3 linked regions of the Oryzias latipes genome follow. The protein of the gene in region 1 purifies or fractionates together with the protein of each later gene. This does not show direct contact. Links are inferred from orthologs where the notes say so. Each region holds a gene or a part of one and is shown on either strand. Other genes may lie near its edges.

Region 1 (4,268 bases):
CTGTCTGGATTCATTCACATACGCAGTCCATCCTGCTGCAAAAGCCGCTTTCTGCCGCTATCTCCGTGTCTCTGTGACCCACATGCGTTCAAGAGGGGAAAAACTAAAAACAAGAATGATCGATTTATTATTGTCTCGATGAAAATAAGAAAAATATCATAAGATTTAAGATTCCCAAGCTTCGCCATACCGCACCAATTCACCGGACATAGCTCTTACTAGCTCCGTTGCAGAGCTCTTTTGCTTGTCTCATTTGTATTTGTGGATTGGATGGGCTGGTGATCAGAAAGCAGGTTTTTAATGGAAATACTCAGAAATGCGTGAATGGATCAAAACACCGCTTTGGGGTTTCTTCTCATGAGGAATGATTATCATACACTTAAAAGCTCAACATTTGGACTTTTTTACTTTGACTCAAATAGATTGGTATGTAGAGTATAAAAATCTAAGAGTATAATCTGTGCAGACGGTGAAATTAACAGTGAATTTCACTTTTACACGTTTTTTTTCTTGAGGTCTTAGATTTTAATATAAAATATAAACAGACACAGATTACATGTTTTTATAAAATCACTGTTAGTGTGTTCATACATCTAATCAGAGTCATCCTTAACTCATCTGTGAACAAATTAATTATAGATTTCTCTTATTTCTGTAGAATCTTCTATTTGTTAAAATAATTCAGATACTATTTTAGTTACTAAGGCCAAACCCACAGAGGGCAATTTTCCTAATTTTTCCAAATAAAATAGACACCAGAAGCAAGTATTTTCTTTATTATACTTATTCTTATGTTCATGATCAAATATTTTATTTAGTCAAATAAGTCATGTATGTATGCTTTGTTTTACTTTTTTATTTTCATCATCTTTGCAAAAAATTTCTTTCATTTTTATAGATTAATTTATGATTTGCTGAAAATATTTATTATATAATAATTTATTTGCATGTTAAAAAATACTAACTGCATCAAATCGTTTCCATGCAATTTCCAAGTTAAAAAAATAATCATCCTATTTAAAGAAAAAAAACTATTATATTGTAAAATGACTTAACTAAAAGTACTTTCAAAATTATTTATGAATACAAAAGCTAATGCCATGGCACTAAAGTAGAGTTTTTAAAAGAACAATGAATCAAATCAACCTTACCTGTAAAGTTTACAATGCAGACTTTTGGAATCCACGAATTTGATTTATTTTACATTACAATAATTTCTTGAATTTTTTGGCAACAAAACTACTGTTCTATTCGTTATTAAATGTTATAATATCCTTATCAAATTAAGTTCCACTTTAGATCATTACATGATAAAAACTATTTTTCATAACTAAACAAAAAGATTTAGTATTGGAAATTAAAATTAATAATAAATCCTCAATCCAAACTATGTTAAATATGAAGCTAACTTGTGAATCAAATCCCTTTAGTTGTGATGACCATGATGCAAACAATTAATTTAATTATTTAATTAAGTAATTTTAACAGTGATCATCTTCTCATGTTGTGCAGCTGTCACAGACATGACATCATGTCTCAACCAGACAAGTGTTATTAGAAGATCAAACGGAGGATGTTGTTACTCTCCTACCTGTGTATCCATCCAACCAGAGCTGGTAAACTTCTTCGCTCATGATGATGGTGTTCCCTACAAACACATCCAGTTCTACTGCCATCTGTGAAGGTCGAAGAAAAAGAACCGGACGTTAGAAAATAGGGTTAAGTTAAGGCAGGTTAAGTGAATAACAGCAGAAATTAAACTAACTCAGACAAGTTAAAATATTACAACTCTATTTTCTACCTTGTTTTCAGCGTTGAATGAACTGGTTTTTATGTAAGAACCTTTGATTAAAAGTAACTCTTTGGTTTCTGTTAGCTGGGCTTTGGTGGACTCGCCATCGATAATTGGCTTTAGCTTCAGTGCTAGCTAGGTAGCAAAGTTAGCATCCGTTCATTTACAGAGAAAAAAAAACTATCATACGACGAAACTGTGACATGGCACAAAATTGAAAAGAAAAAACAATAAATAAATAAAACGCAATCAAACAACTGCCGTAGGCTTAAAAAGCAGTTTACAGCACGAACATCTCTGATAAAACGGTACTCGATCTCTGTGGTTTGGGCTCTGCAGTGTCAACACACTAACACGAGCTTCCGGTGACGTGACGTCATAGGAAGTCTCAGCCAATCGCATGAAATCATGAAGCGGGGCTGCAAAATAAAATAAAAAAAGATAAAATATCTATAATGTTATAATAAGTTGATAATTTTTCCCCCCAAAAGAAATCTCTCACTTAAGTGGTGTATACATACACAAACCAAACAGAATTTACAATTTTTTAGACTAAATTCTAAATTTAGAGTTTTTAATAATGTAGGTGTCCCTGTCAGGTTACAGAATGTAAAGGTGAAGAAGGTGGACAATTCTAAATGCATTGTCTGGAATAATGCAGAGATGAACAGGTGTGACTAACAGTTTAGAGTTGTCATCAAGAATGAATGAAAAGGTGCAGAAGACTTTGGGGAGAACAGATATGTTGTTGGTTTGGAGACAGAGGCTCTGAGAAACAAACTGGAGGCAGAGCTGAACATGTTTAGGTTCTCTTTATAGGACTGGCAATAACAGGTAGGATCAGGCATTAGTTTATCAGAGGGACTGTTTCGAATGTTTTGGTGAAAAAAGACAGGAAAACGAGATTTAGAAGATTCAGATGAAGAATGAACTATAAAATATATTTGCAAAAGGATACCTGCACTCCTACTGCCATGACCAAGGCCCTATGGAAACTCCTGCAGGAACTCCAGCGATGTAGTGAAAGAGAACATGAGTTTTGGCTGGCATCAGTGAGGAGGATGCAGAGGGATATTGTCCTGTAGCGAACAGCCAAAAGGAGAAAAAAAAGAGTAAATTGGAACAGTTCTTCGAGATCTAAATAACACAGGGCAATCTTTTGGGAACAAACAATGTATAGTTTACAGCAACAATTTAAAAGTATACTTAATAGGATACATGCTGTAATAAGTATATATATACAGTATTATAATGACATTTTGCTCAAAGTGTGTGAAGATGTTTGAAGATTAGGCTGGAGTTTTGTTTGTTTTAGTTTGTTTGCAACATAATTTGATATAATATTCTTATTAAATTATATCATCTCATACTTTCTTTCCTTTTCAAACAAACACAAGAAAATGTTAATTGCTATTTGCTGCTACAGTTCAAGAAAAGCACACCTAAACATTTTTTTTTGCAAGTTAGAAAACAGCCGAAACATGTGATTTACATGTGATATACTTTTTTCCCCCCATTAATAGTTAATTTAATAGTGAAACGTATGGTAACATTTATCTACTGCATTTGCTTTGTGCTGTGCACGATCACAGAGGAGGCTGTGGTCTATCCAATCTGCTTCAGGGTGAGGGCGACGCGCACATGGTCAGTTTTTCAGTCCATCACAGGCACACAGACAAACAACCACTGAAGCATGTTTTTGGACTGAGAGAGGAAACAGAGCTAACCAACAAGGACTTTAACCAACACCTTCTTGCTGTGAGGAGCTAAGCACTACACCAGTGTGCAGCCCAGTACAACTCCATTCATTCATTTTTTTAAAATATTTTTCAATAAGATTATTTGAACAACCAAACAGCTCCAATCAACTGTACTAATTTCCCATTAATGTAACACAAATTCATTACATTTTTATTTCTCTCAGCTTAAAATCAAATGATGGTGAATAATCAAAACGGTCTGCAGCAGAGCATTTTACAGCACCGCTCATTTTTCTGGCTGACCTTTGTTCTTGCATTAATGAATTCATTACAAACTTCATAACATCAAAAATAGACATATTTGCCTGAAGCAACTCTACAGTTTATGGTTTGCTTTGCTGCTTGCTTGTACACAATCTGCTCTCTTTTCCTCTGGGGATTAATCCAAATAAATCCCTGTAAATCTCTCTCCTCACCCTCCCTTTCTGTGTTTCCGCGCGTGTCCTTTAAAATCGCAACATGGGGAGAAAAAAAGAGCCAGTCATTGTGTCCTTTTTCTCAGATCTCTTGCAGCACGTCAACACTCTCATTTCTAACCTCATATGACACCCAGAGTCCATGCACAGATTCCCACTTGCAGGGTTAACACCCTGCATTGTTGTGGCCTCACTGAAACAATGGAGGTGGGACAGAGGCCGGAAGGATGTGGCTGAATGCCTCAGCATAAACCCATGAAAAAAAAGTCTATCGTCACAAAATGTTCTGTGGAAAGAAAC
Region 2 (3,568 bases), on another chromosome or scaffold:
GACAGCTCAGACGAGGAAAACGAAGGCGTACATGGATCTATTTGTCAGAGAGGGAGCTTGTGGCTTTCTACGTCACCAATACAATCTTTTTTTAAATGTATTTTTTCCTCTGCTCCGCTGAATTTGCTTGGTATTTGTCCTCTATTATCAGAGCAATCGCACAAGAATGTTAAAAACACCAAAAAAACGACTTCCATCGAAGTGGGTCATTAAACAGTTTGCATAAAGACATTTATAAATTGTCTGCTTATGATCAAGAATTCAAATAAACTTTTAAACTGGTTTAAAAAATAAGTAAAAATCTGAATTTGGCTCAACTGCTCATGTGTGGGTCTTTAGTTTCAGGATGACATGAGCGTTCATGCTGTGAGGTGTACGTATGAGACAATCACTTGGAGAGCATGCGTTGCCATGCTTTGTCAACGAAGCAGACAGACAGGAAGACGATGTCTGCAGACAGACAGACAGACCTGGGCACAGCTGTTAACAAAGTGTGAATGCAGTATTTACGGTGGAGGACATGTGGGGAAAGAGGACTTCTTTCTTTCTGCCGTTTGTGAGGCATGGAGACGCACGGGGAAACAGCTATGAGCAGAGCTGAGCACATGGACACGGACCAGAGTGTGAAAGGTGCTCCACTGCAGTTACCTGAGGTGGCTTCCATCCGGACACCACGAACCTTCAGAGCCAGACACTACACATATTGTATGCAGAGGGCTGGAAATCATTGCAGCTCTCGCAGGAAAGCGTTGCACCCAGCCCCACAATAATCACCAACAGTGTGCAGGAAAATGTGATTCGAACATCCCCCCCCCCCCCCCCCCCCCCCCCCCCCCCCCCAAGAATTCACACTCAAATAGTGGAAACTGTTCTCGGAATTTTCCAGATGCAAATGCAGAGAAGAGATAAAGGATTTTTAGCGAACTGCTTATCATGCAAGTCTACAGAAGGAGAGAGAAGAAATCATCGTGGTGACTGGGGCTACGGTTGTTTCAAAGCTAAGCAGCTGATTGTGATCTTCCTGAGAAGCGGGGTGTCAACTTTCACACTCCAGCTTGATTTTAAAATGCTCCCCCCTCCCCCCTCCCTCAAACAGCATGCACAGAGGGGTGTGTAAGTGCATATGTCAGCTTGTGCGATTGCTTTGTGAAACCGTGTTCTGTGTTTGCGAGTATGATCACCAGAGTGTGCTAGAGACTGTGTCCTCCTACTTGTCTTAACTGATCCTCGTCTTATGGTGTGAGCTTTCAGCCTAAGCAGCTCTAGCCAGGTGCTGCATCTGTCTGCAAAGGAACCGTAATCAACGGAGGCAGCTGGAGAGAACACACGCAAACACACATACACACACACACACACACACACAAAACAACGTGGACACAGCCCGCACCCGCACATACACAAACGGCATCCAAAATAAAGACAAATCAAAAACAACAATACACAGAAAACGAAGAAACAGAAGATAAAAAAGAACAAAAGTGGATGAGGTTTGGGAGTGGTGCAAGAGAACTGTCAGAGACAAAAGGATGAGAAGTAAAAATAAGGCTGTGTTGTCGTTTTTGGTAGTTGGTAGGTGTGTGAGGGGGCGGTAGGTAGAAGACAAGAAAGCAGACTTACCTCTGGTAGACAAATGAGAACTTTCTGGAACACCTGTCACACAAACAAACAGACGTCCATGTCTAACTTTGTGCATTGCAAAAAATGCAAATTTGCATTTTGGTAACGCCAAATGTAAACGCTCCAAGCATATGGGGTCAAATCAGGATCAGCTTAGCGTGAATGAAAATCTGATAGCAAATTTAAAAAAGTTCTCTTAAAAGTTGAACAGTTTTAAACTCCAAAGTACACATTGTAAATTTGAAGGAAATATTAAAATTGAAAAAAAAAATTATTTGTAAACACTTTAAAGAAATATTGAAAATATTTCAATTTTAAAAATAAATGTATAAATTATATAAAAAATATTTTCAATTTGACAGAACGAGGACTGGCACAGGCAGCACGGTTTTGGAGTGGAAATGACCCCCCCTTATCACGTCTCCTGATGTCAATCAGGTCCGGGTGGCCAATGGGGTCAAAGACCCACCCACACAGAAAATAAAGCACAGCTCAAAAAAACAAACAGTCTGAATTGAAATAGTTAATTTAGGACAGAAAGTGAAAAAAGGAAAAGAAACAAAAAAACAAAAGATGGAAATACAAAAAAAACGCTCTCTTTTCAACATTTCCTTCAAGTTTGAAATATATGTTTTTTAAATGTTCATAAATACTAAACAAAATACACAATAAAATGTATTTTATTTTCCAATTTTTAACTATTTACTTATATTTTTCAAATGTGTACTTTTGAGTTTAAAGCAGTTTCCCCCCAAATCTAAAATCTGGTTTTTCATTCACTTTGAGCTGATCCTGATTTGACCCCATACTAGCGCTCGTGTCCATTTGATGGAAGTTTAGCCATACCATAATCTACAGTCACAGCAAAACCAAAACACACAGCCTACTTCAAATCACTGTTTGGTTACCTGCTGAACGAACCACAATCAGCTGATTTTGGTTGAGTTTTGCAGCTGGGGTGATTAAAGACAATGTACCAGAAGTATCAGTGAAGGATTTGGGCAGTGCCTGTTAGTCAAGCAAAGCAGGGGAGGAGGTGGGGACGCTGCTAGAAACAAGCGAGTAAAATACCTGAGTTTTTTGAGGAAGACTGAGAGTTGATGGATGACGAATCTGTACACAGCTCCAGGGAAAACTGCAGCTGGTCTTCAGCCTCACTGCAACCTTTGAAGATATTTCATTGTCAATAGGCAGGGTTTCAAAGGAAAATGTGAGACACGTGTAACTGTAAGTAGTACCACGGCTGCATGGAGTCAGAAGTTATTTGAGGCTGTTGAGAAAACCTGATAAACTTGACTGTTTCTATTTAAATTGAGATTTGTTTTTTAAACTTTACAATGAGGGAAATGCCTCTGGAAAAGAAGAATCTAATCATCACCGTGTTTGATGGTTTAAGTAAAAAAATGAAAGATTTACCGGGGTAATAACCTTTGAGAAAGAAAAATGCATGGTTGCTCCAATTAAGAAAACCTTTAATATTTAATTAAATCTGTCATTCCCGTCAAATCTTTAGAATATTACCTTCTCTTTATAGTAATGATTTGCATTTGTCCATCTAGGAAGAGATACTTCCAGATGCAATGTGGAATAAATTTCTCACTTTAAGCCCCACTCAGGTCATTTTTGGAGCTATTGAAAAAGCGTTTCCTAAGGTCTTTTAATTATGGTTGCAATGTTCCCTTATTTATTGCAGGATATACGCTCCATAAAGCGATCGGTGAAATGTAGACAGTAGGATTAAAGGTGTGTAAGGCTGTAAAACCCTTCACTATACATTTAATAGGCTTTTCTTTTGAATATACAATAATATTATGTCACTTTTCTCTCTTGTTTAAACCTAAAGTTCACAGAAAAAATGGGTTCAGTTTTATATCTGATCGATCTGAAGATCGTGTGTTGTTTTCTAGGTTTAGAAAAGTTCTGCAGAGCGGCAGTAGCTCATTCGAAATTC
Region 3 (3,465 bases), on another chromosome or scaffold:
AACATTTGGAAAATGTAATGCATGAATTCTCTGCTCAAACTGAATGAACCAATATGAAATACAATATGAACACGTAACGTTAAAATATCGCTGGCAATGCTAATAAACTCCCAAATGCATAAAACATGCTGGAATGAATTAAAAATTTTAATAAAATATAGAAATGGCACTTGAGTTTCAAACTTAACGATCATTTAACAGCTGACCTGTAATCGTTAAATTTAGTTTGGTACTAATTTGATCAAATGCACAGATGTTAATTGTTTTATAATATATATTTATATACATCCATAACCTTTTAGTGAATAAAACTATATGTGATCACAGCCATCTATTTGAGGAAACTAGAGCGGAAAATGTAGTTAAAGTCAACAAAAAGCTTTGTGTTTCTTGTACTTTCTTAAGTCGAACTGTGTTTTAGAGCATTGATTTTCAGATTACAGTAGAGACATTTGGGCCAGCCTAAGTGAATGTATAGAACAGAGGCAAAACTTTAAGAAACATTCACAAACATAAAATCAAGCAAGCAGATAAAAGCTGATTTATTGCAATTGTATCTAAAACTGTTAAGCAAAGCAGTGAATGTATTTTAAAACATTCCTCTATCATCTTTACTGGAATTGCACACCTACCACGTTTCTTTTTTTTTAACATGCAATTCATGTTTTCTACAACACTTGAAAGGACAGAATAGACAAGCTATTTACTTTGAAAGAAAAAGCAAGCATGTTTTTTTATGCAGAAGTCATGAAATACTTCCTGGTTTAAACTCACAGTTAAATGATATGTCACAAATTCAACCAGCAAAAGCAAAAAAAACAAAAAAAAGGCAAAGTGCAAAAGCTGTAAAAAAAAAGTACAAAAAGCAAACTCTCCATATAACTTAATCTATGTGCATTCAACTTTTATTTTAAATACTGAAAAAAAGTGGAATTTAAGAATAATTATTTTAAATTCTCTACACAAAATGCTTAACTGCCAAAGTAAAAGTACTTAAAACATCCTTAATAAATACATGCAACTGGTTTTACCAACATCAGTAAAACTTTAACTTCTTAGAGAGCTGCTTCAGATTGCACTCAGTATTTTCACTTTTATAAGAAAAAAAGCAGTTAAATTTGAAATTTTAAAAAAAAATGCAGCAAGTTAATGTTACTATGACAGTTGTGTAACATGGAAATAAAAACTAGTGATTTTTTTTGCCATTTATAATTATAAAAGCATTCCAGTAAACCATATAAACATGATAAAAAAAAGCAATGTGTCACTATTGGTCATTTAAATATATAAAAGGCTTTTTATTGAGGATTAGCTGTAATCTGGACTGCCAGCGTTTAGCATGTCTATTCTGTGACAAAGTGCCCCAAAACCATACAAAACGGAAAATCAAAAGCCAGACCAAAAGAATGAAAAGTTCCTTTTTCTGGGAATAAAGAAAACTGGGATCAGAGATGAAAGAAAAGGATGAAGGGGGTAGTGTAAGCGGTTTAATAATCTGTGTTCATAAATAGAGGCCGAATATTTGGTTGCAGTTTCAGTTTTCAGAAACAAAACATTTTCTCTGAAGGTCTTTTGTTCCGTTTTGCTTTGATGAAACCCAAATAACAGGAAAAAAAGCTCTAAACCTAAACAAAAAGGTGAAGCATTTTTCAGTTACTAACTGACATTTGTCTGTCGTGTAAACCCGCCGTCTACAACGATTAAAAGTAGCTGTCTTAGTTAATTACTGGACAGGAAGGTATTTAATAAAAAAAATGTTCCGATTCGTCCGAAACATCTCCAATGACATCCAGTTTTTTCAGACTCATTTCCTGCAGGGTTTCATTTCTTTGCTTTTGCATGAGGACTCAAAATGAGTTCACCTCATTTGAAAAGCCAATGCTTTAGGTTTTAAAGTAATTTAGCTCATGGCAAACTGGTACCATGTTATGAAGTGAACTGTAAACACTGCAACTTGCAATTTTTCTCTTTATTTTATGGTCTTAAATTGATTTTGGAGGGGGGAAAAAAGAGAAATAAATTAAAGACTATAGAATGTATCTAATGTTGTAAATCAGGAAGCATGTATAAAATGGTTCCAATGTAAAAAAAAATAAAAAATAAAGTACCACTGAGGCTTTGCTTCACACAGAGGCAAAAGCGAAGCGTTTGAAAGCCAGTCGGGGGATTTGCCTTATTTGAATGAGTCCTAACTACCAGACAGGTTGAAGGATTATTTATTCATTCTTGCAGCTCCAGCTCGGCGGGGGCAGCGCAGCCTTTATGGTGGGCAGAAATCGGCAAAGTAAGGGTGCTGCAAGGCTTCCTCTGCAGAGATCCTCTGGACAGGATTACATTTCAACAGATTCTGGATAAGATCAAAGACAAAAACTTTAATGAGCGAAAAACATTCTTAGAAAAAAACCCAAAACAAATTCCAAGTATCACTACGTCAACTCAAGTGAGTGAAGTGAAGTACAGGATTTTAAACAGCGTAACATGTAAACTCCTCAAAGATCACATTAAAATGAAACCCCCTATAATAACTCAATATATAAAAAAGAGGCCCGTTTGGAGTACCTGTAGTAAATCCCGTCCTGTATTACTTAGTTTTGGAACCACGTTAACCAGTGAGGTGGTTGCTGGATACATAGGATATGGCTGGCAAGAAAACAAACAAAAAAAAAGAAAATTGTTAGCAGTTGATTCAGAAAGTAAATTGATATAAAAGTTGGATGAATTAATTTACCTTGTAATCTGGAAGTTTTGTCATTGTTGGCCACTGCTCCTCCGTTGGTGTACCCAACAATGTATCAAAAACACTTAAAGAAGAATGTTTCTCAAAGCAGATTATTATTATCATACAATGGGAATAATTGGCTTTTTACTGACAGTGCATGTAAAAATATTGAAAGAAAAAAAGAAAGGATATCTGAAGATCCTTTTTAATTGGTCGTCGACATCATTGCCTGGGAATAAAGGGCGCCCGGCGTTTGCCAGTTCTGAAACACGGCAGAATAAGCAATGAGGTTTCATCTGGTTTCTAAAAATGCATCATATGTTAGACAAAACAGGAAGTGCTAGACAGCTGATCACATCTTTTAATCCCAGGTTCAGAGCTTCTATATTTAAGCCCACGGCTCCACCATTTTCCTTTCTTTTTTTGAATCTCCAACACATGAAATGCTTTGTAGCTGGCAGCAAGGCTGAATGTAAACCATCCTACACAGCTGATACGTTGATCCTATAGATTTACATTAATTGCAGAAGACAATATCCCAACTAGAGTACAAGAAAACCTGTGTTTGATATTTATGTGCTCGATGCTGACGTCTTTTTCACCACCGCAGTATGATCATTTACTTATGCAAAACCCAATTCCAGACATTGCATACATTTACATTCAGTGGAGGACAGAGGATGTAAACAGGCATAATTCAGGAAATGCATACATATTTGGAGAGAAAAGCGTTCCTCCTTTAAGGC

The links.
Region 2: the proteins of fibp (region 1) and c2cd5 purify together in Homo sapiens (affinity purification with mass spectrometry; 3 studies listed by BioGRID and IntAct, counting the BioPlex papers as one, with this or other methods). This does not show direct contact. The link is inferred for Oryzias latipes from reciprocal best matches to the Homo sapiens genes FIBP and C2CD5.
Region 3: the proteins of fibp (region 1) and cdk5 purify together in Homo sapiens (affinity purification with mass spectrometry; 7 studies listed by BioGRID and IntAct, counting the BioPlex papers as one, with this or other methods). This does not show direct contact. The link is inferred for Oryzias latipes from reciprocal best matches to the Homo sapiens genes FIBP and CDK5.

Annotation. Positions count from the first base shown.
Region 1 is NC_019868.2:11,647,828-11,652,095, forward strand, and holds the start of fibp (acidic fibroblast growth factor intracellular-binding protein), read right to left. Parts: upstream 2,845-4,268; 5' UTR 2,769-2,844; coding exon 2,751-2,768; intron 2,159-2,750; exon of another isoform or gene 1,802-2,158; intron 1,677-1,801; coding exon 1,592-1,676; intron 1-1,591. UniProt on the Homo sapiens protein: May be involved in mitogenic function of FGF1. May mediate with IER2 FGF-signaling in the establishment of laterality in the embryo.
Region 2 is NC_019864.2:19,276,831-19,280,398, reverse strand, and holds part of c2cd5 (C2 domain-containing protein 5), read right to left. Parts: intron 2,782-3,568; coding exon 2,689-2,781; intron 1,651-2,688; coding exon 1,618-1,650; intron 1,314-1,617; coding exon 1,182-1,313; intron 1-1,181. UniProt on the Homo sapiens protein: Required for insulin-stimulated glucose transport and glucose transporter SLC2A4/GLUT4 translocation from intracellular glucose storage vesicle (GSV) to the plasma membrane (PM) in adipocytes.
Region 3 is NC_019875.2:27,780,615-27,784,079, forward strand, and holds the end of cdk5 (cyclin-dependent-like kinase 5), read right to left. Parts: intron 2,982-3,465; coding exon 2,912-2,981; intron 2,790-2,911; coding exon 2,729-2,789; intron 2,641-2,728; coding exon 2,560-2,640; intron 2,348-2,559; coding exon 2,261-2,347; 3' UTR 514-2,260; downstream 1-513. UniProt on the Homo sapiens protein: Proline-directed serine/threonine-protein kinase essential for neuronal cell cycle arrest and differentiation and may be involved in apoptotic cell death in neuronal diseases by triggering abortive cell cycle re-entry. Interacts with D1 and D3-type G1 cyclins.